Linked DNA regions of Macaca mulatta. The protein of the gene in region 5 purifies or fractionates together with the protein of the main gene of each other region. This does not show direct contact. Links are inferred from orthologs where the notes say so. Each region holds a gene or a part of one and is shown on either strand. Other genes may lie near its edges. The genes, in order: CCNT1, TUBB, SNRPB2, SF3B1, SNW1, BCAS2 and DDX23.

The links.
Region 1: the proteins of SNW1 (region 5) and CCNT1 purify together in Homo sapiens (affinity purification with western blotting; 3 studies listed by BioGRID and IntAct, with this or other methods). This does not show direct contact. The link is inferred for Macaca mulatta from reciprocal best matches to the Homo sapiens genes SNW1 and CCNT1.
Region 2: the proteins of SNW1 (region 5) and TUBB purify together in Homo sapiens (affinity purification with mass spectrometry; 3 studies listed by BioGRID and IntAct, with this or other methods). This does not show direct contact. The link is inferred for Macaca mulatta from reciprocal best matches to the Homo sapiens genes SNW1 and TUBB.
Region 3: the proteins of SNW1 (region 5) and SNRPB2 purify together in Homo sapiens (affinity purification with mass spectrometry; 3 studies listed by BioGRID and IntAct, with this or other methods). This does not show direct contact. The link is inferred for Macaca mulatta from reciprocal best matches to the Homo sapiens genes SNW1 and SNRPB2.
Region 4: the proteins of SNW1 (region 5) and SF3B1 purify together in Homo sapiens (co-immunoprecipitation; 3 studies listed by BioGRID and IntAct, with this or other methods). This does not show direct contact. The link is inferred for Macaca mulatta from reciprocal best matches to the Homo sapiens genes SNW1 and SF3B1.
Region 6: the proteins of SNW1 (region 5) and BCAS2 purify together in Homo sapiens (co-immunoprecipitation; 3 studies listed by BioGRID and IntAct, with this or other methods). This does not show direct contact. The link is inferred for Macaca mulatta from reciprocal best matches to the Homo sapiens genes SNW1 and BCAS2.
Region 7: the proteins of SNW1 (region 5) and DDX23 purify together in Homo sapiens (affinity purification with mass spectrometry; 3 studies listed by BioGRID and IntAct, with this or other methods). This does not show direct contact. The link is inferred for Macaca mulatta from reciprocal best matches to the Homo sapiens genes SNW1 and DDX23.

Annotation. Positions count from the first base shown.
Region 1 is NC_133416.1:55,880,503-55,884,699, forward strand, and holds the start of CCNT1 (cyclin-T1), read right to left. Parts: upstream 2,801-4,197; 5' UTR 2,739-2,800; coding exon 2,578-2,738; exon of another isoform or gene 2,349-2,577; intron 1-2,348. UniProt on the Homo sapiens protein: Regulatory subunit of the cyclin-dependent kinase pair (CDK9/cyclin-T1) complex, also called positive transcription elongation factor B (P-TEFb), which facilitates the transition from abortive to productive elongation by phosphorylating the CTD (C-terminal domain) of the large subunit of RNA polymerase II (RNA Pol II).
Region 2 is NC_133409.1:152,322,544-152,326,695, forward strand, and holds the start of TUBB (tubulin beta chain), read right to left. Parts: upstream 2,801-4,152; 5' UTR 2,727-2,800; coding exon 2,670-2,726; intron 1,628-2,669; exon of another isoform or gene 1,344-1,627; intron 701-1,343; coding exon 592-700; intron 323-591; coding exon 212-322; intron 1-211. UniProt on the Homo sapiens protein: Tubulin is the major constituent of microtubules, a cylinder consisting of laterally associated linear protofilaments composed of alpha- and beta-tubulin heterodimers.
Region 3 is NC_133415.1:67,266,391-67,270,669, forward strand, and holds the start of SNRPB2 (U2 small nuclear ribonucleoprotein B''), read right to left. Parts: upstream 2,801-4,279; 5' UTR 2,704-2,800; exon of another isoform or gene 2,369-2,703; intron 1,092-2,368; 5' UTR 1,054-1,091; coding exon 990-1,053; intron 595-989; coding exon 422-594; intron 1-421. UniProt on the Homo sapiens protein: Involved in pre-mRNA splicing as component of the spliceosome. Associated with sn-RNP U2, where it contributes to the binding of stem loop IV of U2 snRNA.
Region 4 is NC_133417.1:102,334,263-102,337,762, forward strand, and holds part of SF3B1 (splicing factor 3B subunit 1), read right to left. Parts: intron 3,206-3,500; coding exon 3,085-3,205; intron 2,742-3,084; coding exon 2,610-2,741; intron 72-2,609; coding exon 1-71. UniProt on the Homo sapiens protein: Component of the 17S U2 SnRNP complex of the spliceosome, a large ribonucleoprotein complex that removes introns from transcribed pre-mRNAs.
Region 5 is NC_133412.1:150,979,795-150,983,734, reverse strand, and holds the start of SNW1 (SNW domain-containing protein 1), read left to right. Parts: upstream 1-1,140; 5' UTR 1,141-1,169; coding exon 1,170-1,183; intron 1,184-3,940. UniProt on the Homo sapiens protein: Involved in pre-mRNA splicing as component of the spliceosome. As a component of the minor spliceosome, involved in the splicing of U12-type introns in pre-mRNAs.
Region 6 is NC_133406.1:125,685,034-125,687,538, reverse strand, and holds the end of BCAS2 (pre-mRNA-splicing factor SPF27), read right to left. Parts: intron 1,023-2,505; coding exon 896-1,022; 3' UTR 501-895; downstream 1-500. UniProt on the Homo sapiens protein: Required for pre-mRNA splicing as component of the activated spliceosome. Component of the PRP19-CDC5L complex that forms an integral part of the spliceosome and is required for activating pre-mRNA splicing.
Region 7 is NC_133416.1:55,994,109-55,997,608, forward strand, and holds part of DDX23 (probable ATP-dependent RNA helicase DDX23), read right to left. Parts: intron 3,405-3,500; coding exon 3,261-3,404; intron 3,162-3,260; coding exon 2,936-3,161; intron 2,634-2,935; coding exon 2,488-2,633; intron 835-2,487; coding exon 657-834; intron 1-656. UniProt on the Homo sapiens protein: Involved in pre-mRNA splicing and its phosphorylated form (by SRPK2) is required for spliceosomal B complex formation.

The DNA.
Region 1 (4,197 bases), on a different chromosome or scaffold from region 5:
CAGGAGAATCGCTTGAAATGGGAGGCGGAGGTTGCGGAGAGCCAAGATCACGCCATTGCACTCCAGCCTGGGCAACAAGAACAAAACTCCATCTCCAAAAAAAAAAAAAAAACCAATTTATAAGGCCTGGCTGGGCACGGTGGTTCACACCTGTAATCCCAGGACTTTGGGTAGAGGCAGAGGCAGGTGGATCACCTGAGGTCAGGAGTTTGAGACCAGTTTGGGCAACATGGCGAAACCCCTCCTTGACTAAAAACACAAAAATTAGCCAGGCATGGTGGCAGATATCTATAATCTAATATGATTTACAGCGCCCACCCTGATCTGGCCCATAGGTATGTCTCCACTACCTCTCTCACCTGCTAAACTCCATCAACTAAATTACTTTCTTTTTTTTTTTTTCAGACAGAGTCTCGTTCTGTCACCCAGGCTGAGTGCAGTGGCACAACCTCAGCTCGCTGAAACCTTCACCTCCTGGGATCAAGCAATTCTCCTGCCTCAGCCTCCCAAGTAGCTGGGACTACCGGCTGGGCCACCACGCCTGGCTAATTTTTGTATTTTTAGTAGAGATGGGGTTTCACCTTGTTGGCCAGGCTGGTGTCGAACTCCTGACCTCAAGTGATCCACCCGCCTCAGTCTCCCAAAGTGCTGGGATTACAGGCATGAGCCACCACACCCGGCCTAAATTATTTTCAGTTCCACTTCTCTCTGGCAACCAAGCCTTCTCATGTGGTGATCCACGGGACAGGAAACATCTGAAATGATCTGATAATTCATTAACTGAAGAGGAACAAAAAACTTGTAAATGCCTTACTTCTAAAAACTTCAGCAGACAATATGGGGTAGAGAGATGATGCAGTCCCAAATTACAACAGCCTTTTTTTGAGGGGGCAGAGTCTCGCTCTGTCGCCCAGGCTGGAGTGCACTGGTACCATCTTGGCTCACTGAAACCTCTGCCTCCCAAATTCGAGCGATTCTCCTGCCTTAGCTTCCCCAGTAGCTGAGATTATAGGCACTCGCCACCAAACATGGCTAATTTTTGTATTTTTAGTAGGGACGGGGTTTCACCATTTTGGCCAGGCTGGTCTTGAACTCCTGGCCTCAAGTGATCGACCCGCCTGGGCCTCCCAAAGTGCTGGTATTACAGGTGCGATCCACCGCGCCTGGCTGACAACCTTAATGACAACACACATACAAAAAGGAAAGCGTTTTAAGGATACACTGAAATAGAATTTCGAACAAAAAGATTTACTCCGTACTGATAGGATGCTTAGGAAACACATCTGGACATCAGCAGGAAACAAACTGGCGATAAAAAAGACACCCATTTTGAGATGCACACACCCTTAAGATACAAACATTACTGTCAGCCACACATTTAAATAGAAGCTGCACCCAAGAAAATTTTCACACACAGAGTGGAAAGAACTTTAAAACTATACAAGTTTTCTCCACCACAAAATAAGTGTATTTCCTGACAAACAAAAATATGTGGGAGAGGATACCTCATTTTTTTTAAAATTTTTTTTTCTGAGACGGAGTTTCACTATTGTTGCCCAAGCTGGAGTGTAGTGGCGCGATCTCGGCTCACTGCAACCTCCACCTCCCGGGTTCAAGCGATTCTCCTGCCTCAGCCTCCTGACTAGCTGGGATTACAGCTGCCCGCCACTAAGCCGGGGTAATTTTTTGTATTTTTAGTAGACAGGGGTTTAATTATGTTGGCCAGGCTGGTCTCGAACTCCTGACCTCAGGTGATCCACCCGCCTCGGCCTCCCAGAAGTGCAGAGATTACAGGTGTGAGCCACCGCACCCGGCCGTTACCTCATTTTTGAAATAGAAAGAAAATGAAATACACACCACCACTCTAAGTAACTTAAGGACCCAGTATTTTGTAAACGATTTAAAACATTAGATTCGTGGGTAACCCCTACAAACGTAAACTAACATCTTTCCTCTGAAATTCTATAAAACAGCAGCTACTAATTGAGCATCTTAATGCAAAGCATTGTGATGGACACAGAATCAAACACAAGAGGTATCATCCCATTTTATAGACAAGACGACCAAGAATTTGACAGGTCACTTAAACAGCTAGCAGATGAGGAATGGATTTTGGACCAAGGCTGAGGCATTAATTCTAGACCACCCTTTATAAGACTTTCAGGTACTGAATTTCTCGAAATTTACACACTAGGTTTCGGAAGCAGCCCTCAACAGAGAAACCTCTGCCAGACCCAAACCCCTAGGGCACAGCGGAAAATGAGAAACTTAACGTCACCAGAGCCGATCAGAACACAACGAAGAGAGAGTTGGAAGGGCTGGTTAAAACACGAAGCCGGGAAGGATACGAATGCCCAGCAAGGTTGGTGGCACGGGTGAGCGAGCGGGAAATCAACTCCGCCTCGCTTCCCTAGCGCGAACTGAGTTTCAGCCCGCCCCATCGTGGGCTCTCCCAACTAGACATCCAGCTTCTGCCCACCTTCTTCCCCACTTTCGTCCCCCACCAGAGCCTGAGACCTAGACGCCAGAGCATGGCGGGACCAACTCAAAGGCCGAAGGCCTAGGCCGCAAGGATACACGTTAAGACGCTGCCCCATGTCCTGGAGCAGATTGGCCGCCTGCTGGCGATAAGAAAGTTCTTTATCTGGGTCCACACCAAATCGACGGGATGGGCTATTTTCCAGCTGTTCTCGAGTGAAATACCACCGTTTGTTGTTGTTCTTCCTGTCTCCCTCCATAATGCTTCAACCAGAAGGCAGCGGCGGAGGCTGCAAACACTTCCCAGCGTCACCTAAGAGGCGACCCACATCCGCTGTGCGGGGGCAACTGCGACTTGACGAACTTCCGCTAAGCGTCGACCGCCGGGTTGTGACTCTCTTCCGTAAAGAAAGCAAAAGTCAAAGGACCTACTTCCGGAATGCACCTCGCGACACCCCGTAGCCGAGTTAACAGCCAATATGCGACGAGAAAAAAACCTTGAGGCGAGGACGCAGGCGCGTCACGTGACCCTTGGGAGGTGGCGTGGGCTTAGAAGTTCTCGCTTAAAAACCATGAATCTTCCCGCGAGAACCGGATTGAGCGTTGGCGCCCGGGGTTAGGTTGTGAGGTCGCAATTGTAGTGGTATGAGGCGCCCGCCCACGCGCCGCTTGGTGGTTCTTAGGAGAACTTAGTTTGTGACTGCAGTGGTGATATAAAATGGGGCAGATGGACCGCGCGCGGTGGTTCACGTCGGTAATCTCAGCACTTTGGGAGCCCGAAGCAGGCGGATCACGAGGTCAGGAGTTCGAGACCAGCCTGGTCAATATGGCGAAACCCCGGTCTCTACTAAAAATACAAAATTAGCCGGGCGTGGTGGCGTGCGCCTGTAGTCCCAGCTACTCGGGAAGCTGAGGCAGGAGAATCGCTTGAACCCGGGAGACGGAGGTCGCAGTGAGCCGAGATCGCGCCACTGCACCCCAGCCTCCAGCCTGGGTGACAAAGCGAGAGACTCCGTCTAAAAAATAAATAAAATAAAAATGGGGCAGATGAACTTGAAAGAGAAAGTAGGTGAGGCTGTCAGAAACTGAAAAACAGAATCAAATGGTGGGGCTCTTTCGTATATGGGAACATAAAGCAACTAGAAGGCTGTTACGTTGTTGGTAGCAATGTAAAATACGACAACCCATTTGGAGAGGTCGCTTTAATGTGTAGCCAAACTCATGAAAACATTCTCACGTTTCGCCGCAGTGATCCAACTTAAAGGAATAAAATGAAATTAATAACATTAAGAGCTTACATGTCCCATGCACAATACTGACTTAAATATACTGTTTCATTTATTCAGCGGAACTCTCAAGAGGTAATTTTTAAGTACGTTTGCTAATGGGTGAACTAATACTGCCCCTTGAGTGTGAACAGCCTCCACCACTACCCCTCACTTGCAGAGATTAGCAAATTCCTGCCCTCTGTCAAGATATTTCCCAGCTCCTTTGCCGGCGCGGTGGCTCACGCCTGTAATCCCAGCAGTTTGGGAGGCCAAGGCGGGCGGATCACCTGAAGTCCGGAGTTGGAGACCAGCCTGGCCAACATGGTGAAACCTCGTCTCTACTGAAAATACAAAAATTAGCCAAGTGTGGTGGCGCACGCCTGTAATCCCAGCTACTCGGGAGGCTGAGGCAGGAGAATGATTTGAACCCGGGAGGCGAAGGTTGCAGTGA
Region 2 (4,152 bases), on a different chromosome or scaffold from region 5:
TTCACTGTGATGTATTCTCCCCCCACTGCCCCATAATGTACCAGCAACAGCAGGCACTACCTCTACCCTACCTCTACCCTCCATTAGATTTCAGAATACAGTTCTTAGCACTCCAGTACAACAATCATCTCCTAACTTTTGCTGTGTCCTTGCACCCAAATAAGTTGAACACGATAGTATATCATCTGCTAATATCATCTGTATAACTTACCAAATACAAAGTTGTCTGGTCTAAAGATCTGGCCAAAAGGACCTGAGCGAACAGAGTCCATGGTCCCAGGTTCTAGATCCACCAGGATGGCACGAGGAACATATTTGCCACCTACAAAGAATAAAGTTAAGAGCTGTGAGATCTGGCAGAGGGAAAGGTTTATAGATACACTGGGAATGGAAGACAGCAGGGACCCAAGACTTGTTCCAGGTCCTGCCACCAGGTGGCAGCAGACGTCTTTGGCCCCGACGGTGGTTCACAAAAGGGAGAAAATGATAGATTCACCGAAAGGGGATAAGGCGTGCCAGGAATGGAAAGAGACCCCAGAGAAGTGGGAGACAGGGAAGGGGAACCTGAGCTGCCCGGGCTCTTGCCCTTACCTGTGGCTTCATTGTAGTACACGGAGATGCGGTCCAGCTGCAGGTCGCTGTCCCCGTGGTAGGTGCCGGTGGGGTCGATGCCATGTTCATCACTGATCACCTCCCAGAACTGCCGGGCAGGAGCAACGAGACCACAAGTCAAGTCCCAGTCAACTACGTCCCCAACTACCATTTTATTTCATCTTTTTCTTAACTTTTTTCTTTTTTTTTTTTGAGACGGAGTCTCGCTCTGTCGCCAGGCTGGAGTGCAATGGCGCTATCTCGGCTCACTGCAACCTCTGCTTCCCGGGTTCAAGCGATTCTCCTGCCTCAGCCTCCGGAGTAGCTGGGACTACAGGCGCGCGCCACCACGCCCAGCTAATTTTTTGTATTTTTAGTAGAGACGGGTTTCACCATGTTGACCAGGATGGTCTAGATCTCTTGATCCGCCCACCTCGGCCTCCTAAAGTGCTGGGATTACAGGCGTGAGCCACCGCGCCCAGCTTCTTTTAATTTTTAAGACAGGGTCTTCCTCTGTTGCCCAGCCTGCAGTGCAGTGGTGCAATCACGGATCACTACAGCCTGAAACTCCCAGGCTCAACCGATCCTCCCATCTCAGCCTCTCGAATAGCTGGGACCACAGACGCGCGCCACCACACCCAGTTAATTTTTTTTTTTTTTTTTTTGAAGAGATGTGGCCGGGGGGAGGGGTCTCGCTTTGTTGCCCAGGATGGTCTCAAACCCCTGAGCGGGAGCGATCCCAATTAGCCCGCCTCAGCCCCACATCTCCCATTTTAATCCCACACGCGCTCAGGCCGTTGTTCTAGGGCCTGGCATCCCGTGTGCCTGCCACACCCTTCCCCTAGACACTCGCTCCCCCGGGAAAGCCACAGCTTTCCCGGCTCGGGATTATGTGCAGCGGGTCCCAAGTGCTCGGTGGGCGGATGGAGGTCGACCATACTTGGATAAGCGCCGCTGTTCTTCCCCCGAGCTGGGCACCGCCCCACCGCGCGGCGCACAAAAGGCTCGGGGCACTAGAAGAGCTGCTGCCGCAGTCGACCACCCCCCACCCTCCACGTGACTGCGGCGCACGCGCAGGTCGAGCCGCCGACAAAGGACTTCGCACGTGGGCGGGGCCAGGGGCAAGAATTCCGCGCGAGGGGCGGGGCCCAGGGTAGCGCGCCCCTCCCGGCGGGCAACGCCGCATTGTCCCCGCGCGCCAGCGGCGCCCTGGCCCCGCCCCGCAGGGCCCCGCCCTTCTGCTACAACGTAGCACCCGCACTTCCTCCCGCCCCTCCCCCGCTACACTGTAACCGCGCGCAAAAAAAAAAAAAAAAAAAACCCTTGGCCTCGGAATTTTATTCCTTTGCTAGATTTCTCCCCCTTGATTTAAAGCATTCTTTCTCTCCCATTAAGTCCTGAAGGACTCGTTAAAGAAAACCACACACCCCCATTTTCTCGACATATCAGTTCACGCCCTAAAGAGGTCTCGCTTAGGTGCCATGAAAGCAAGAAAAATTAATCCCGTTCTTATTCTCCTTCCACCCCGGAACAACTACAGGACCGGCCCTCCGGGGTCGCGGGCGCGCTGGGGTCCCTGATCTTTTGTGAATGGTAGCGCCCAGCGCAGCCCACCCTGGCGCATCGCCCCCCGACCTTTGCACTGGAGCTCTCTGCAGCCGCCCGACAGCCTCACCCCTTCCCGCTCCCGTTTGGCCCTAAGAACCCCGCAGGGGGGGCTGGGCGGGATGCACATGGGCAAAACCTCGCCCCGCTTTGTCTCCGACTGTTTCCGCATCTCTCTCCCTGCCCGGTTCTTGGACCGTTAGAAGCCCTTTTAAGTAACATATGTCCTTGGTCTTCCCGCCCCCGAAACCCGAAGAGCCCTTTTACTAGTTTCTCCAAAATGTGCCTGCCAAGAAAAATGATTCCCAGTTTTCCAAAAGCAAATGCTAGTTATTATATATATAAATGTAACAAACTTGGGAGGGGCAAAGCTTGATTAAGAATGGAGAGTGCAAATGCCCCACAACCATTTTTTCATAACTTACCTGGATTTTTCCTTCTAAAAAGAAATAAAAGAGGTGTAAAATTCTTACCTTGGCACCGATCTGGTTGCCACACTGACCGGCCTGGATGTGCACGATTTCCCTCATGGTTAAAATTAATTTTTTTTGCTCGCCTCAAGGTATGTATGGGGCAAGAAAATAAGTAATTTTTTTTCTCTGCAGGTCGCAGGCTGGAAGGTTGGAACGCGCCCCAGACGCTGGAGCAGCGAGGTGCGAACGCGGCGGCAGGAAGGTTCTGAGAGGGAGAAAGGAGAGGGGAGGGCGCGGAGGGAAGGCAGGCTGGGCGGGGCGCGCGTGCGCCGGGGCTGGGAGGCGGGAGAATCGGCCCCGCGCGCGGTCGGGAGACAAAGCCTCATCGAGCCTGGCCCTGATTAGTCGATGCCGGTCATGTACCAGGCGTCCATTGGCCTCTGAGCCAGTGGACGAGCGCAGTCCTCTTTGGGAGTTGTAGTCCCCTATTGTTGTTCACGGTGCAAAATGAAGTGACGAATGGGTGGGTACCGGTTTGGTTTTTGTTGGGTTTTTGTTTTGTAAATGAAAAACGACCTTGCGCAAGATTCCTTTCCTCTGTGCCTGAGGTTTTTGTACAAAAAGTGAGCAGTTCTCGGGGATGCAGGGATTGAGAAGTCTGGGGTTCCAGAAGTTGGGTGGTGAGGTACGCCCTAAAAGCTCCCAGCTGCAGTACCTCTAGGGAAGACAGAATTGCTTAGCTCAGCGAAAAATGGGGAGGAGTGTGGCACCGTGCTCTGCTACCTCTGGCCTTTGGTGACCCAAGTCATGAACTTAAGTAAGCTTCTGCTCTCTCAAATACTTCAAGAAGGGAATCGCCCTCTTGCTATTTCCTTGGAAATTTTCGAGTCATTGTTTTGAAAGAGAAACAAAATTGCAGCAAGGGCTTTTCAGGATAGAGATGTTGTCTGGAGAGTATGTTCAAAGAATAAAATAGTTTAGAGAAACCGACATCGGGGATTTGTGAAACTAGAAGTCTCCATCCACGTAGGAGATCTGGGCCTTAGGGCAGACTTTGAAGACACCTTGATCTTCTTGTCAAACAGGGAACTATGGAATGAGATGCCTGATAGATTTTCAGTTTTTTCAGCCTACCTTTTTAGACATGTTAATGAAGTCAGTGGTTTTTCAATTCGCTTATTTCACTGACCAGGTGGCCGCCATTGCAACTCTGCAAGATACCCAGTATTGAAAAAGGAGAGAGGGGAAATTGATGGGGGAAAATTGGATGGGCTCAAGACAGAGTCCACCAGCTTCTTCCCAGAGATTTATTCACTTATTTGATAGTTACTATGTATCCACCAAATTAGGAACTATGGTTACAAAATGATTAATAATTAGTTCCCTGTCCTCCAGGATGTTGCAGTCTGGCCACTCAGAAATGTAGTATCAAGTCAACATCATTGTTCATTCACATTCGATTACACACAGATCTATATATCTATATATATATATCTATATCTATCTATATATATATATATATTGTATTTTTGGTACAGACAGG
Region 3 (4,279 bases), on a different chromosome or scaffold from region 5:
ACTGTTTCATCTAGACTGTGTAGCTTCTGACATATAGTATTTCACTATAGCATTTTCTAAAACTTCAGACTGAATTTCCCCTTTAGCTTCTGACTTTTGTAATGTTTTACAAGTTTACAAACAGGTTTCTTTTCAAGTCTTCCAGGTTATTATTAATTTCTAACTTTTTGAGATAAGACTATTGCCTAGACTGCCATTATTTTTTTAAATATTCTACATCTCAATGTATTTTGTTTTCAGCCATCTTAACCGTCATAAATTAAACTCTACTGCTATTGTTTTTCTATAAAAACACATAAACCCAAACACACGTAATTAAAAGCAGAAAGCAACAGCCACAGTTTCAAGCATATTTACAAATCTACTGTACCATCAATATCATTAATTTCTTGATTAAAGTGAAATAATAGAATTGGCTTACCATTGGTTTACCATAAAATGGAAATCCTTGTAACTGTCTCAAAGCATTCGTGGATGAGCCCAGTTCCTTAAATATGACAAAGGCCTGCCCCCTCATCTTCATGGTCTTTAAAGCCACAATGTCCACCACATGACCGAATTGAGAAAACAGGGCATACAGGGATCTCTTCAATTCTGTCCAAATTAGAAAAGAAACAAGTCATTGGTAATAAGATAATGACAAAAGTCTTCATAAAATGATACTGCATTGAGTTGCCTCCCCACCATTCACTTATTTATAGTTATATATATTTAATGTTTATAAAAACATATACTATTCCCATTGGCTATATGTAATTTTATAAGTCAGATGAAACCATTATATCTATGAGTAGAAACAGACTGTACACACTGTCAATTCCTACCTATTTTTGTTTTTTAAAAGTCTTCAAATCCCTATAGGTAATGGAATAAACCATTATTTCAGGCACTAAGACGACGAGGTAAGAGGTTTTGAGGCAATACAATTTTTAAGACAGTAGTAAATAAACACATTTTAGTAGTGAACAAGTATTTTTAAAAGCACTTACCTTCCTTTTTAATTTTGTCATTCATATTGTTGATATAAATTGTATGATTTGGTCTGATATCCATGTTTGTGTTAAATTCTTCAGAAGGAGACAGTAAAAAATCTGTTATAAAAAGGAAGGAGTAAATTATACTGGACTGTGGCATAAGGACACAACACACGAATTATTAACCTTTCACTTCTCTTTCAATCCCAATTGTTAGATGATGTCAGTTTGGCTGAAGCCTTTAGTGTACCTCCAGCACCTACTAGCCCTCCTTTTCATACAAAAGGAGAAGAGTTTCTCATGCTCAAAACTTGGAGCACCAATACCTAGCCAGATTTTAGTAACATCATTTAATTCAACACATTTATTTTCACACTTACTTTTCACTTATGACAAGTGATATTTTCTTTCCACCTCCTCAATAATTTAAAATGTAGATTTGAAGAAAAATGACCAAGTAGCAAATGTACATCCAGTGAAAATCATAAGGTTAGACATTAATGGAGTTTGCCAACTACTTCTTGGGTGCACTTACAAAGTCCTTCCATACCTATTACTTAATTTGTATACAGTATCACCAAGCTGTCTGGACTCCAAGGTTACCTCTAACCGACTTGAAAGAAGGGAGCTCAATGACAACAGTGTGGCATGACCGTTAAACTCAGATTCTAGTACCAACCATATGTGAATTCAAATCCTATTTATGCTTCTTATTAGCTGTTTGCCTGAGGGAAGTTCCTTAATCTGTCAGGTCCTCATCAGTAAAATGAGAATGGTAACAGAACCTACCCAACCGAACTCAGAAGACTAAATGAGTTCTAGCACAGTTTTGCATCAACGGTAAGCACTTAAAGTAGCTATTATTAACAGCTATTACCAGTTAAGGAACGTGCCTAAGGTCACACAGCTAATAAGCATCAAGCCTGGAAATTCAGCCCTTGCTTTCTCCTCTACACTTCTCTTCCTCGTCCACCACACTATTGCATTTTTTTAACGTGGTTTTTACTTGCAAACTGTGAAGCTGCTTGATTTCCTTGTGTGCCCCACATATTTCTTTATCTCACAAATATTTACGGAGCATCCACTGTACGTGAATAGCATTGGATGATTGACAAGGGAAGAGCCTACAAGCAGGGGCTGCACTTGTGCAGGTAACAGGTAAAACATAACGCTTCTCCAAGCCTTGGGACCCCCTAAATCGAAATCTGGAGAAGCGGCAAGGGTCACAAAGGAGACGACGAAAGGGAAGTGACTGAGGCAGAGGTCAAACTGAAGGTAGGGGGACAAAGGGGAGGCTCTTGCGGGGTTTCATGCGAGGTTTGATCGTGGGCTGGACTGTTACAGGGGCACCCTGAATTACCCGCCACTACCAAAAGGAAACCGCTGGAAGACACCTGAAAGCGCAGTGAACTGTCAGCGCCTCGCACAAGCAGACGGACATTATCCTTTACTTCGTAAGCGCAAGCCTCCCGCCTCTCCAGACACAAGCACCTTCGCCCGAGGCCCCCTAACGAAGTCCGAGGGAGCTGCCACGCGATGCCCGGCCCCTGAGTCAGTCTCCCATCTCTTCCTCGCCCCCAGCCTACTCGGGTACTCCGAGATCCAAATCCGGGCCAAACGCGTCCCCACCCCAGCTTCGCGCTTCGTCCGCTCCCAGCTGCAACAGGGGAGAGAAGGGCCGAGGAGCCAGGAAAACCGAAACAGCGAGGTAAAAGGTGCACGAACCCACCTAAGGCCTACGCAGTCTCCCGTAAGAACCAAAAGCAGGAAACGGAGCCAGGCACCGGAAGTAACGTTGCCACGCTCCTCAATCGAGCGCCCACAAGTCTACAAGCCGAGCGCAGAGCAGATCGATGCTTCCTGGTCTCTGGCGGCCCGTAGGTAATCTCTTTGCGCGTGCGTATGCCCTGCGGGCAGGAGAAGAGTCCGGAAATGGAAATGGGGAAAGGGACGGGGTTTGTGGGGACAATGCTGCGAGGGAATAGGGAAGAAGAGTGAATCATTTCCCTTACCACGACCTTGCGAAGCTTTGCCCCGCGCAAGAGTGCCTTCCACCTTTACAAATCCTATGTAATTTTACAGGCTCTGCCTCTCATGCTACGGGGCAGTTAGTCCTGGTTTCGCCCTTCTTTGGGCTCTGGCTGCCCCGGTTTAAAATCACCTTTAGGATAGCCGGTTCCTCCGGCCTCCAAGTCTCCTCTGATTCCTGGGGCTCTGCAGGAACTGTCCTCCAACACTCTGCTGATGAACTTGAATCTCAGAGGCTACCCAGTTTGAGGGCCCAGGGCAAACAGAACTGGTGTCTGCCCAATTCTCATCTCTCACCAGATAAGGCAACCATGCTGAGTAGAACCCAATCATCTGTAAGATCATCTGCCTCAACTCACTCGAAAAAATAATTCCCTACCACCCTTCCCACTCTTTTCTTCCCACAAAAAGTCTAGATTTTTCTAGGGTAGTCTAACGAGTTAGTATTTATGCCAAGCTGAATGGGAATTCCCAAAAAAATTCCCATGCTTTCATTCATTCATCCATTCATCAGATGTCTGTAAAGCATCACCTGGAATATGAAATGGTTGTTAAGAGTCAAGTGGAACCTAATCTTGTACCCTCTGCTTAACTAATCTCTCTGATCTTCACTCTTTTCGTCTGTAAAATAGGGATCCTAATAGTATCTCCTTCTAGTTGTTGTAGGCATTAAATGAGCTAAAATAAATGTAAAGTGGTTGGCACATTACCAGACACAAAATAAATGCTCAAAAATGTTATTTCTGAATTCTGGCTATAACTTGGTTATATTGGTGAGGCTCAAAAATGTTATTTCTGAGTTCTGGCTATAACTTGGTTATATTGGTGAGGCAGGTAGCTGTCAAATAAGTTAGTTTTATCAGCTGGGAATTTTTATTTTTTAAAAAACACCTAAAGTTGCAACAACTTGAAAATAATATAAGCTTCTTAAGGGTGGGGATTTTGTCTGCTCTGTTCACTCAAGTACCCTTAGTAATGAGAATAGTGACTGATAATTAATATGTATTGGATAAATGAATGACTGACATGGAAAACTAGGCAACAGTAAACAAATATGCTTTGAACATGCAGATGAGTGTAGAAAATGTTAAGGGATCACAGAAAAACATCCTTTTATTATATAGATCTAATACTACAAGAAATGGCTGAGTGTAGTAGCTCACACCTGTAATCCCAGCATTTGCGGAGGCTGAGATAGGACTGGTTGAGGCCAGGAGTTTGAAATCATCCTGGGCAACACAGTGAGATCTCATCTCTGAAATAAATAAATAAATAAA
Region 4 (3,500 bases), on a different chromosome or scaffold from region 5:
TGGTACAAACTCTGTTCTGCCTTTCTTGAACTTTGAGGTTGTTTAGAAGTGTAGCCAATACATCATGAGGGCTGAAAAAAAAAATGGGTCAACAAGCTGTTACATTATAAGTCAAAAATTTATGGAAGAAAAAATGCATAAAGATGAAAACTTTTAAATATTAATAATTACAGGGAACTCAGTAATTTTATAAAACGCAATACTTCCAAGTCACTGGCATTGTTTCTACATTAAAATTTCATATAAATTAAAAGGTCAGTTTTAAAAAGTTAACTCTGAGAAGATCAGAGGTCACAGCTGTACAAATTTTAAAAATTTTGGCCGGATGCAGTGGCTCACGCTTGCAATCCCAACACTCTGGGAGGCCGAGGCAGGCGGATCACGAGGTCAGGAGTTCGAGACCAACCTGGCCAACATAGTGAAACCCCGTCTCTACTAAAGACACAAAAATTAGCCGAGTGTGGTGGCACACACCTGTAGTCCCAGCTACTTGGGAGGCTGAGGTGGGAGAACCACTTGAACCTGGGAGGCAGAGGTTGCAGTGAGCTGAGACAATGCCATTGCACTCCAGCCTGCGTGACAGAGTGACACTCCTTCTCAAAAAAAAAAAAAAGTAAGTTAACTCAAATTAATTTTCATATGTAATTTTCAGTTTTTAAACTTTCTGAAATATAAAGAAATTTAACTAAATGTTTAAAGTGAGTAATTCTGAGTTGTCAAAATGGGCACTAGAACTAGGTAGGAGTGGTGAGGGGAATATCTGAATTGTGGTCTCCCATTATAAACCATATAAAATCTCTTTTCTTTCTTTTTTTTTTTTTGAGACGGAGTCTCGCTCTGTCGCCCAGGCTGGAGTGCAGTGGCACAATCTCGGCTCACTGCAAGCTCCGCCTCCCGGGTTCACGCCATTCTCCTGCCTCAGCCTCCCGAGTAGCTGGGACTACAGGCGCCCGCCCCTGCGCCCGGCTAATTTTTTCTATTTTTAGTAGAGACGGGGTTTCACCATGGTCTCGATCTCCTGACCTTGTGATCCGCCCACCTCGGCCTCCCAAAGTGCTGGGATTACAGGCGTGAGCCACCACGCCCGGCCATAAAATCTCTTTTCTTTTATCTTCCCTCCCACACAATTTGCTGCATCTATTTGCCTCTTCTTTGACATAAACTTAGAGGGACATTGGGGCTAAAAGCTTGCATGACAGCTATTCACTACAAATTTCTTGACTCCATCACCACTGAAATAAATATTATGCTACCAAAATAGGAGAGAAATTAGTGTGTGTTAGGGGAGGGGGTGTGGTCTGGTTAATTCTACCTAATTAATCAGACGTTCACATGTCATATTCCTTGAACACATTTTCTTAAGCCACATGGACATGTGGTGTCTCGTTTTCTTTTCTTTTTTTTTTTTTGAGACGGAGTCTCGCTCTGTAGCCCAGGCTGGAGTGCAGTGGCCGGATCTCAGCTCACTGCAAGCTCCGCCTCCCGGGTTCACGTCATTCTCCGGCCTCAGCCTCCCGAGTAGCTGGGACTACAGGCGCTGCCACCTTGCCCGGCTATTTTTTGTATTTCTTAGTAGAGACGGGGTTTCACCGTGTTAGCCAGGATGGTCTCGATCTCCTGACCTCGTGATCCGCCCATCTCGGCCTCCCAAAGTGCTGGGATTACAGGCTTGAGCCACCGCGCCCGGCCGTGTCTCGTTTTCTATAATGACTTTTTTCCTACTTTAGTTGTGATGGAATGGAAGCAAACAACCATAGATTATCTCACAAAGCAGCTATAATTCAGTTAAATCCGTGGAGTAATGTTAGAATAGCATTTTTGTTGTTTTTTTTTAGAGACAGGGTCTCGTACACTGGCACAATCACAGCTCACTGTAACCTTAAACTCCTGAGCTCAAACAATCCATAATACAACTTTTAAAACACATAAAGCATTAATATGAGACTTAAATGATGCTGTGAGACTAAAAATTTGCCTTAATAGTTTAAGCAATATCCTAAAAGACCAGTACACATTTTGTATTTTTCTGAAAATGGTACTGTTTCCCTCCCTGAAAACACCTAAAGTATAATTAAAGTAAATCTTAAACCCTTCCATCTATTTTAATTCAATTAAGAATTTAAGACTACAGGCTGGGTGTGGTGGCTCATGCCTGTAATCTCAGCACTTCTGGAGGCCAAGATAGGTGGCTCACTTGAGGTCAGGAGTTCGAGAACAGCCTGGCCCACATGGTGAAACCTCATCTGTACTAAAAAATACAAAAATTACCTGGGCGTGATGGCGCATGCCTATAGTCCCAGCTACTGGGGAGGGTGAGGCAGGAGAATCTCCTGAACCCGGGAGGTGGTGGTGGGTGCAGTGAGCTGAAATCAAATCACTGCATTCCAGCCTGGGTGACAGAGCAAGACTCCGTCTCAAAAAAAAAACAAACACACAAATTGAATTTAAGAATACATTCCAAAAATCAGAAGGTCAATGGTTAAATGAAGAGCTTTCTCAACTGCATTATTCAGACCATGCCTCAAAAGAGATTTCTACATGAAGTATTTTTCAACACCACAACGAATTTATTATAATTTTTTTTTTTAATGGAAGTAAGTGACACTCACCCAATGGCCTTTGCAATATAACCAAATGTGTTGACTGTGGCTCTACGAATAGCCTTTTTGTGGGCTTTTAAGAGCTCTAAAAGCTCAAAGCAAATCCTCATCCACTCTCTTGCAGACACATATTCAGCTCCCCTAATTTAAAAAATACACATATTATTTGTGACATTAGGAAAAGTTTTAAGGATAAATTTGCAAATTCAGTTCTAAAAACATGATTGTTAACTCATTTTAAGCATTAAATAAGAGTTATTCCTCTTCAGAAAGGCTGAAGAGTTAGTCTTACAGGTTTAGTCCTAAAATTACATGGCCACCCCATTACCATCCAAATTGAAATTTGACTGAAAATATTAATACTAGACAGCCTAATCATATACACTTATATTAGTGACATTAAGAAAATTTTGCTAATTGAATACAAAGTGGCCAAATTTGAAAATTGATACTGCTTATAAAAATGTGTGGGTAATCTGCTTACCTGTCAGCAATACGCCCAACAAGATCAATACAATTCTCTTGTACTTTTTCATGTCTGTTCTTTAAGATGGGGGTGAGTCTAGGCAGCAGATCTTTAATTGGTGGAGTCATCTTATGCATACCTATTTAATAGAAGTCAATAAACTATCAACATCTGAATTGCAACTTTTGTTCACTTTCCTTTTACTTAGCAACGTTATATATGACTATGCATAAATATAAACTTACAGCTGCCTATGGAAAGAGAAAGCCGCGGATTCTGACCAGACTCAGAATCGTTTTTAACTTTTATTAACAATTTTTGATTATGTATAGAAATGAAAGAAATCAGTGAAGTGATTTAAAGAATGATGGATACTCAATAACAAAAAAGTTTTGTTTGGTTCTGAAATGTATTTGTGCACTGACATTTAAATA
Region 5 (3,940 bases):
GGAGTGCAGTGGCGTGATCTCGGCTCACTGCAACCTCCATCTCCCGATTCACACGATTCTCCTGCCTCAGCCTCCCGAGTAGCCGGGACTACAGGAGCACACCACCACACCCAGATAATTTTTGTATTTTTAGTAGAGACAGAGTTTCACCATGTTGCCCAGGCTAGTGTGGAACCCCTGAGCTCAGACAATCCGACCGCCCCGGCTTCCCAAAGTGCTAGGATTACAGGTGTGAGCTACCGCGCCCGGCCAAGAGTTGATCTCAAAACAGGGAGATTATCCAGGTAAGCCTGATCTAATCACACGAGCCCTTTAAAAGCAGAGCATTTTTCTCCAACGGTGGCAGAAGAGGAGACAGAAAGATGTGCTTCAGCTGGCCCGGGAGCAAGCAAACATCCATGTTGTGAACTACCAATAAATAGGGTTCATGTGGGAAGGAGTTGAGAGTGATCCCTAGGAGCTGAGGGTGGCCACCACTAGCAGCACACAACAAAACAGGGAAGTCGATCCCACAACCGCCAGGAACTGATTTCTGCAAACAAGAATGAGTTAGAAGATGGATTTTTCTCCAGAGCCTCCTATGAGATTTCAGCCTTGTCATACCCTGGGCAGGGAACCCAGACGCTCGGTAAATTACCAAGGATTACAAAATATCTCCCCAGGAGATTGTTTTGGGTGGTAGGAGGATACGGTTTAAAGAAAAGTTTTGAGTATGAATGTTTTCAGAGTCCAAGAACTCTCCATTAGCCAGTCTCACTATTACCTATCGTTTTAAACTCCCTATCACCCTTTCACTTACAGAGCTGTCCCGGGGAAGCTTTTGTATTTTGTACCCTTTCTGGGGGAATGGGGCTGAGTAAGGAACGTAATAAAGCGGCCTAAACAGCATCTCCCTCTATCTTTGATATTTTGCCTAGGGAACGCCCTATCATGTCGCATATAAGCGATCGAGTTATGTATTTGTTGCTAGCTGAAGAGATTATTCCTTGATAACCGCTTGGTCCGGTCAGAATAGAAACGAATGGTACTCCCGTTCAAAGAACTACAAATCCCAGAAGGCCTTTCGGCCAGAGCGCCTGCGCATCGCGCGCTCCTTCCTTTCCGCTCCTCATCATCTGGAAAGACCCGCCCCGCGGTGCTGTCGCTCGCGCTGGAAGAAGCGGAAGAAGATGGCGCTCACCAGGTGGGTTGTTGATTGGGGTCCTCGATACGGAAGGGTCTGGGAGTACCAATCTTTTTCATTTCTCTTCCCATACTCTTGGGGCGGTGACCTGACCCGGGGCACAGAATGACGTGGGCCAAAACTACGGCTACGTCCTCCCGCTGGCCGCCGCTACGACTAGGCCTAGTCGAAGCTGGGGTCTTTCCGCGGTTTCCCGGGTTTAGTTCACCCCTCACCGAGGCCGAAAGCCGCGGCGTGGCCTCAGACACTGAAGACTGCATTTTTCGCTTAAGCATCTTGCGGGGAGCGAATAACGCTCCCTCAGGTCCGCGGCTCGGGCGAACAAGAAGGGGTTGGGGACGGTAGTGGCTTATTTGGGCGGAGTGAAGCGCACGGGCTGCGACTGCGCGGCTTTCCGGCCGTTTGCCTGTGTCCCGAAACAAGGATTCCTGAAAAAAGGGACCCGGAGCTGAACAGAGATTTAAATGAGCCACACTAGTGGCAGCTGTCTGCTGATATGCGCCACTGCTCCGCACTTTAACTTTGGAGCTTAGAATTTCTTCCGTAGATAGAACCACCTCAGAGTTTTGCTGTTTTCGGTTACCTTAGTAACTGTCTGTAAAGTGCTCCTTGCCTTTAAGAAAAAGATGCTTTCCAGTGGGAGAGTCCGAGAAGTTACGCTACCCCTGCTAGTCCCCAACGTTGCTGCCCCACCTTAAGTGGGAAAACTTTACATGCGAACTGAACAGGAAAAGTCTAGTGTTCAGGAAGGTTGTAGAGAAAGTAGTCCTTTTAGGACATCAACTTGAGCCCTCTTAACACCCTTCATTCTCCTCACGCATGTTTTTTTGTTTTTTTCTGGCTGATGACAGTATGAATCCAAAAAATTACTTTGGGAATTACTGTTGGTGCTTTGCTCTGTCCTGGGGATTGTGTACACAGAAGAAAATCTGTCTTTGGCAACAGGGAAGATGGGGTACAAGGTATACAGACATAAAACAATCACAGAACACAAAATGCACATTTGTGTTATACTAACCTTAGTGCAAAAAGAATTAGATGGAATAAGTTGTGTGGGCTGGAGAGTTTTCTTTCCCCTCTCCTTTCTAAAAATTTTTTTGCCTTTTTTTTTAAAAAACTATTTTTTTGAGATGGAGTCTTGCTATGTTGGCCAGGTTGGTCTTTAACTCTTGGCCTCAAGCAGTCCTCCTGTTTCGGCCTCCAAAAGTGCCAGGCGTGAGCCACCATGCCCGGCATCTGAATTTTTTTTTAATAAAAAGCTAGAAATGGGGTGTCACTGCGTTGGCCAGGGTGGTCTTCAACTCCTGGCCTCCATCAGTCTTCTCACCTAGGCTTCCCAAACTGCTGGGATTGCAGGCATGAGCTACCATGCCCAGCCAAGAGTTTTTTCTTTAGTAAATGTTACAGGCAGCAAACATTTGAGTACCCTCCAGGTGTGAGACACTGTGTCATAGACTAGTAAAGTTATGAGGGGAGACTTCGTGGAAAAGGTGGAATTTGAAATGGACACACAGGAAAAATTTCTAGAAATGTGATGGGTATTTTTTTATTTTATTTTTTGATGCAGGGTCTCACTCTTGCCCAGGCTGGAGTGCAGTGACCCAATCACAGCCCACTGCATCTTCAACCTCCCAAGGCTCAGGTGATCCTCCTGCCTCAGAGTAGCTGGGACTATAGACGCTTGCCTTGATGCCCAGTTAATTTTTGGTTTTTTAGTAGAGGTGGGGTTTTGCCATGTTGCCCAGCCTGTTCTTGAACTGGGCTTAAGTGATCCACCCATCTCAGCCACCACATCGTGTGGCCTGTCATGGGTATTGTGTGCTTAAAATTGCAGTGGCAGAATGCAGTATTCAAATGACCAGTCTTGGGGACTCCAGAGCTTTCCATACCTACCATCTGGGGTTCCTCAGTATTCTTTGTAACATCCTTTAAACCAGTAAACGCATTTCCCTGAGTTCTGTGAGCTACCCTAGCAAATTAGTTGAACCTGAGGATGAGGTCATGGGAACCCTGGTTTGTAGTCAGTTGGCCGGTGACCTGGACCTACTATTGGCATCTGAAGTAAGGGCAGTCTTGAGGGACTGAGCCCTCGACCTGTGACATCTGACACTATCTCCAGGTAGATAACATCAAAAATGAATTGAATTAGAGGACACTTGACTGGTGTCCAGTAAACAATTGATAGCTTGCTTGATACGTGGGGAAAAACCATCATGTATCTGGTATCAGAAGTGTTGTGTGTTGTTGATTGTTGAGTGAAATAATAGGAGAAACTGAATTTGTTTTAATTTTATACTCTATCCACATGGAGCTTACATTCTACTGGGATAGAAAGACTATGAGTAAAATCATAATGCAATTTCAGGTAATACACGCTAGGAATAAAAGAGGGTTAGAGAGTGACTCAAAGTTTGGGGTGAAGTGGCTATTTTGGGTAAGATGGTCAGAAAACAGCTCTAGAGAGAGGTAACTGAGCAGAGACATGAGTGCTAAGATGCAAGCTGTTGAAAGATCTGGGGCTACTCTAGGCATACTGCCTATGGGATAGCCCTGCTCCTCAAGGAGCAGTCACAGAAGAAGACATCTGGAGAAGAGTTTTCTATAAAAGCATACGAAAATTTGTTCTGTGTTTTCGTTTTTGTTTTTTTGGTTATGTTTTGTTTTGTTTTGTTTTGTTTTGTTTTTTGAGGCAGAGTCTCACTCTCACCCAGGCTGGAGTGCAGTGGAGCAATCTCAGCTCACTGCAAACTCCACCTC
Region 6 (2,505 bases), on a different chromosome or scaffold from region 5:
CCTGGACACAAGTGATCCTCCTACCTCAGTCTCTCAAAGCACTGGGATTATAGACGTGAGCCACCACACCTAGCAAGACTACCTTTTGATATGTTGCAAATATTTTTTCTGAATTGGGCACGAATCTTTTATACATTTTAATTCCTTACAAGTAGAGAAGTAAGAACATTAACTCTGGAGCTGGACTATTGGGTTCAAAACCTGACTGACATTTTCTATAAAAAAGCTGACATTTTCAGCTATAAAACCTTGGCAAGTTTTGTTATTTAACTGGGGTCTGTTACATGTCCACATATGAGAAAAACAGTAACTGCCTCCTGAGGTTTTTGTGAGAACCAAATAATTTTTATTCCTATACATCTAGTTCACCGATCTAAGGTGTTCAGAACAGTGTTCGGCACATATTAAGCTTGATATAACTGTTACCTATGATGATGATGGTGATAATGATGACTCTGTATAGTCACTGTATTTCTGAAGTCTTGTTTGGTAATCAAGAATGTGTTTCGAACTATCTCTTTATTAGACAAAGTCATAAACCAAAAATTTCCAACTTCCTGTACATGTTGAAGGCTTTAAATAAGGATCCTTGGATACAAACTATGGTCCGCATGGCTGAAAATTAATTCTATGACACAGTATTATTCTAAAGTCATAACTGACTTTGAAAGCCTAAAGGTTTTCTTTTATGGTTACAAAAATACCACCAAGCTAGACATTTTAATTCTGTTGAGATATACAAATAGAATTACTACAGCAGCCCACACATTCTATGATTTCTAAACATTTAAACATCAATGGTTTTGCGAAGATGCTGTCGTCCTTCACAGTTCATTAAAAGTTCAGATGCCTTTTGTGAAAGCCCACCTTTTCTTCTACCTGCTAAACTGTCTTTTCAGAAGTCTTGCCGGATGTTTTCTTTGTTTGCCTCTCCATGTTGCTGCTTAATTTGATAGATTTCATTTTCTAGCTGAACAATAGTCCGTTCAATCTCATAATTCTTACTGACCAGGGATACCCAACTAGAATGGGGGGGAAAAAGGAAAAAAATTACTCAATGTAAAATTTCTCTTAGAAGATTTTATTTTAAATGTATACACATGTTCACTCAGAGCTATAACACTAACTTTCACTTTTTTTTTTTTTTTTGAGACAGAGTCTCGCTCTTGTTGCCCAGACGGGAATACAATGGCACAACCTTGGCTCACTGCAACCTCTGGCTCCCGGGTGCAAGCGATTCTCTCGCCTCAGCCTCCCAAGCAGCTGGATTACAGGCACCTGCCACCACGGCTGGCTCATGTTTTTGTATGTTTAGCAGAGATGGGGTTTTCACCATGTTGGCCAGGCTGGTCTCAAACTCCTGATCTCAGGTGAGCCACTGCACCCAGCCTAAACTTTACTTTCAACTCTCCATTAAAAAAAAATCAAGGCACAATTGTGGAAAAGTAGGTAAAGGGTACATGGAATCTGTATTCTTTCTTTCTTTCTTTTTTTTTTTTTTTTCCCAGAGATAGGGTCTTGCTCTGTTGACTAGGCTGGAATGCAGTGGTGTGATCACAGCTCACTGCAGCCTGGAACTCCTGAGCTCAAGCAATCCTTCCACCTTAGCCTCCCGAGGAGCTAAGACTACAGGTGCATGCCATCATGCCTGGGTTCATTTAAAAACATTTTTTTTTGTAGAGACAGGGTCTTGTTATGTTGCCCAGGCTCATCTTGAACTCCTGGCTTCAAGCAATCCTCCTACCTTGGCCTACCAAGGCACTAGGATTACAATGTGAGTCACCACACCTGGCTCTCTGTATTATTTCTTACAACTGCATGTGAATCTACAATTATCTCAAAAGTTCAACTAATAAAAAAGCAAATTAGAAACAGATGAGAGAACTTGTAAACCAGAAGAAATAGGAAAGAGTGATGAAGACAGTATCTAATTTAATCAACAAAAAGGAAAGAGGCAACAGTTTATTAAATTGAGGAAAAAACATGAAAGGGTACCAAAGAGACTGATAACACGTACATGGAGATGGTAGAACAAGGAGAATAACTTGAGTAATGAAGGGACAAAGGGAATGGGAAAGCAAAAAAGAAGAGAGAAATGACACAAATATTCAAGATACTGTATAAAGGCATACGTGTGTATGTAAAAGAACATTTTTTAAAATGTATAAACCTGAGGTACAAACAAATTATCAAGAAAAGTATGAAATCTCCCTGCCTACAATATTTTATAAAATTAATTTTTTTCCTTTTTTTTTTTAAGACGAGGTCTCACTCTGTTGCCCAGGCTGGAGTGCATTGGTGCGATTATGGCTCACTGCAGCTTCAACCTCCCAGGCTAAGCAATCCTCCTGCCTCAGCCTCCACAGTAGCTGGGACTACAGGCATGTGCCACTGTAGCTGGCTATTTTTTTTTTCCATTTAAAAGGAGAATAAAGGTAGAATTCTATTCAAGGCCAAAAATACTAGACTAAAAACAGGGTATTCTAAGACCAGAATCCTTTAGCA
Region 7 (3,500 bases), on a different chromosome or scaffold from region 5:
GCATGAAATCACTTGTTGCCTGGATTTTCTCAGGAACGAATGAGGTCTCTGAGTAAGATGCAGGGATTAGACAGAGGAGGCAAAATCAGTAGAAACTTTTTTTTTTTTTGGCAAATCATTTCAGATCCTGAAGAAGCAACTTTCTTAGATGGGAGAGACTAAGGGATACCATGAAGGGGGTTGTATAAAGACTAAATTAAAAAAAAAAAAAAGTAAAAACTCTAAATTTCTACAGCAGATTTCTCATAAAAAGCTCTCCTCCACTTTCCTGAGATGAACGCAATGCACAAAGTCAAAGATTTGGTCTGGCAGAGTAAAGAGTAACTAAAAGCACAGGCTATGGATAAGAATCTCAGCTCTGCCCATTGCCAGCTGTTTGTGACTTCAGGCAGTTATTAACCTGAACCTCAGCCTGATCTATAACAAGGAAATATCACTACCTACTCTCACACATTATTGTGAGAATTAATGAGCTAATATATATGATATATACTATTTGTAATATAAACTTTGGTGCATAAGTTCTCAATAAATAGCACATACATATAAACCAGCTCCTTTCTTCATTCTACTGCACATCTATTCCAGAAACTAGAAACAAAGCCCCAAGATAGCCTTCCCAGACAGCAGGCTGGCTGCTAGATAGAAAAACAAACCTCACAACCCATGCGCAGCCTGAAGCCTTGGTCTTCTCTGGAGATGCCACCAATGACAGCCACAGTGCGGATACCTAGCGGCTTCCCAAACTTGATGGTCTCTTCCTCAATCTGTTGAGCCAACTCACGGGTGGGAGCCAGGATGATGGCATAAGGGCCTTGGTCTGACTCTTCGATTCTGTGGTAAATGGGGCATCCCACAGCTTCGTGAGCTTTGGTTCTTATCCAACCACAAGCCAGAGCAAGACAAAGTCACTCTTAGGGGAAGCGATGGGAATGGGGAGGATGATGAGAAAAGAATGAAATGATCTCACTCAAAAATCAGAGGCCAGGGCTGGGCGCTATGGCTCACACCTGTAATCCCAGAACTGTGGGAGGCTGAGGCAGGCGGATCACCTGAGGTCAGGAGTTTGAGACCACCCTGGCCAACATGGTGAAACTCTGCCTCTAATAAAAATACAAAAATTAGCCAGGGGTGGTGGCCGGCGCCTGTAATACCAGCTACTCGGGAGGCTGAGGCAGGAGAATTGCTTGAACCCAGGAGATGGAGGTTGCAGTGAGCTGAGATCGTGCCACTGTACTCCAGCCTGACAGAGACACTCTGTCTCAAAAAAAAAAAAAAAAAAAAAAAAAAAAAAGTAAGTCCAGAGGCCAGGCAAAATGGTACAAGCCTATAATCCCAGCACTTTGGGAGGCTGAGGTGGGTGAATCACTTGAGCCCAGGAGTTTGAGACCAGCCTAGGCAACATGGTAAAACTCTGTTTCTACAAAAAATACAAAAATTAGCTGGGCATGTTGGAACACACCTGTAATCCCAGCTACTTGGGAGGCTGAGGTGGGAGGATCTGCGCCTGGGAGGCAACGGTTGCAGTAAGCCAAGATCACACCACTGCACTCCAGCCTGGTCAACAAAGCGTGACTCCATCTCAAAAAAACAAAAATAAATAAATAATAAATAAATAAATAAATAAAAATCAGAGATTCGGCCAGGTGCAGTGGTTCACGCCTGTAATCCCAGCACTTTGGGAGGCCAAGGCAGGCAGATCACTTGAAATCAGGAGTTTGAGACCAACCTGGCCAACATGGTGAAACCTCATCTCTACTAAAAATACAAAAATTAAGGACGGGCGCAGTGGCTCATGCCCGTAATCCCAACACTTTGGGAGGCTGAGGCAGGCGGATCACCTGAGGTCAGGAGTTAAGAGACCAGCCTGAACAACATGTAGACCCCGTCTCTACTAAAAATACAAAAAAATTAGCCGGGCGTGGTGACGGGTGCCTATAATTCCAGCTACTCAGGAGGCTGAGGGAGGAGAATCACTTGAACCTGGGAGGAGGAGGTTGCAGTGAGCCGAGACTGCGCCACTGCACTCCAGCCTGGGCAACAAGAGCAAAACTCCATCTCAAAAAAACAAAACAAAACAAAAAAACAAAAGTTAGCTGGGTGTGGTGGCACATGCCTGTAATTCCCAGCTACTCAGGAGGATGAGGCAGGAAAATCACCTGAACCTGGGAGGCAGAAGTTGCAGTGAGCCGAGATCGTGCCACTGCACTCCAGCCTGGGTGACAGAGTGAGACTCTGTCTCAAAAAAATAAATATAATAAAATAAAAAAATAAAAATCAGAGACTCCAGGATAGCAAAGTTCTCCAGGTCTTTGCCAGCAACATATAATTCTTTGATATCATGATCCAATTATTCCCTAATATCGAACCAAGAATAAAGAAGCAAGCTTCCGATTATAGACGTGAAACAAAAAACACACATTCTTTTGCCACTTTCACCTTTCCTACCCAGACAAACCCACTCCAGCTGGTGCCAGCTGACCCCACCTGTCAATTTTGGGAAGTGTGGTGATCCAGACCAGCAGTGGGATGAGGAAGGCTGCTGTCTTGCCGCTGCCAGTCTCAGCCACACCAATGATGTCACGATTCTGTAGCCCAATGGGAATTGCCTGACGCTGGATAGGTGTTGGTTCCTGCAGTGACCCCGAGAAAGAGTAATAGGTACAGGCAGAATTATACAACCTGGGCTACCACTGATAGTAGTAAGCATATCTGCTAGTGCAATGGAAGGATGCCAAGTACAGTGCACAGAAATGGGGACCCCAAGAAGAAACATAATCACTAAAAGCTGACGCTTCTACCAGAAAGTGACAGAAAAGGTCACATTGGTACCCAATAGCAGGGATGGCTCCAAATAGTCAAGGAACAAAGTTCTCTATTCCCAAACTAGTGCAGGAACATTTCAGATCTTTTGGGCCAATCTACCCCTCCTTACCTTATAGCCACACTTATCAATGACTTCCAAGATGTGTGGGGGCAGAGAAGAGTCTTTCCAGGATCGGATGGGATTGGGGATCTTGCCACCTTTGGTGGTGATGCTGTAGTCCTCACGGAAGATCCGCCAGTCCCTGTCCGTCATCTCATCTAACTTTTTCTGAGACCAATGACGATCATCCCAGCGCTGCTTGGCTTCCTTCTTACGAAGTTTACGGAGTCTTGCCCTGGAGCAGGATGTGAGGAGTAAGTAGAATCAGTGCCCTCCAACTCCTTTCTGTAGAGTCTCTGGGCTCTGTCCAGCCACCCTAGCCTTGATCACTCACTCCTCCTGCTCCTTTTCTTCCAGGGTTCGCCTTTTCTCCATTAGGTCTCCATAGAAACGTGACTGCTCTCGTTTCTGCTGCTTGAGGTCAATGCCTGCAATGAAGCCTCGCCCTAACAACTGCACCTGGTGCCGTTCTTTATACCTGGGATTGAGACAGAGGAAAAGAAAAAAGAAGCAGCTGTTATGGCAGTAGGAGGGAAGGGCAGACTACTAATATGAAACAGTTCCTCCTGGACAG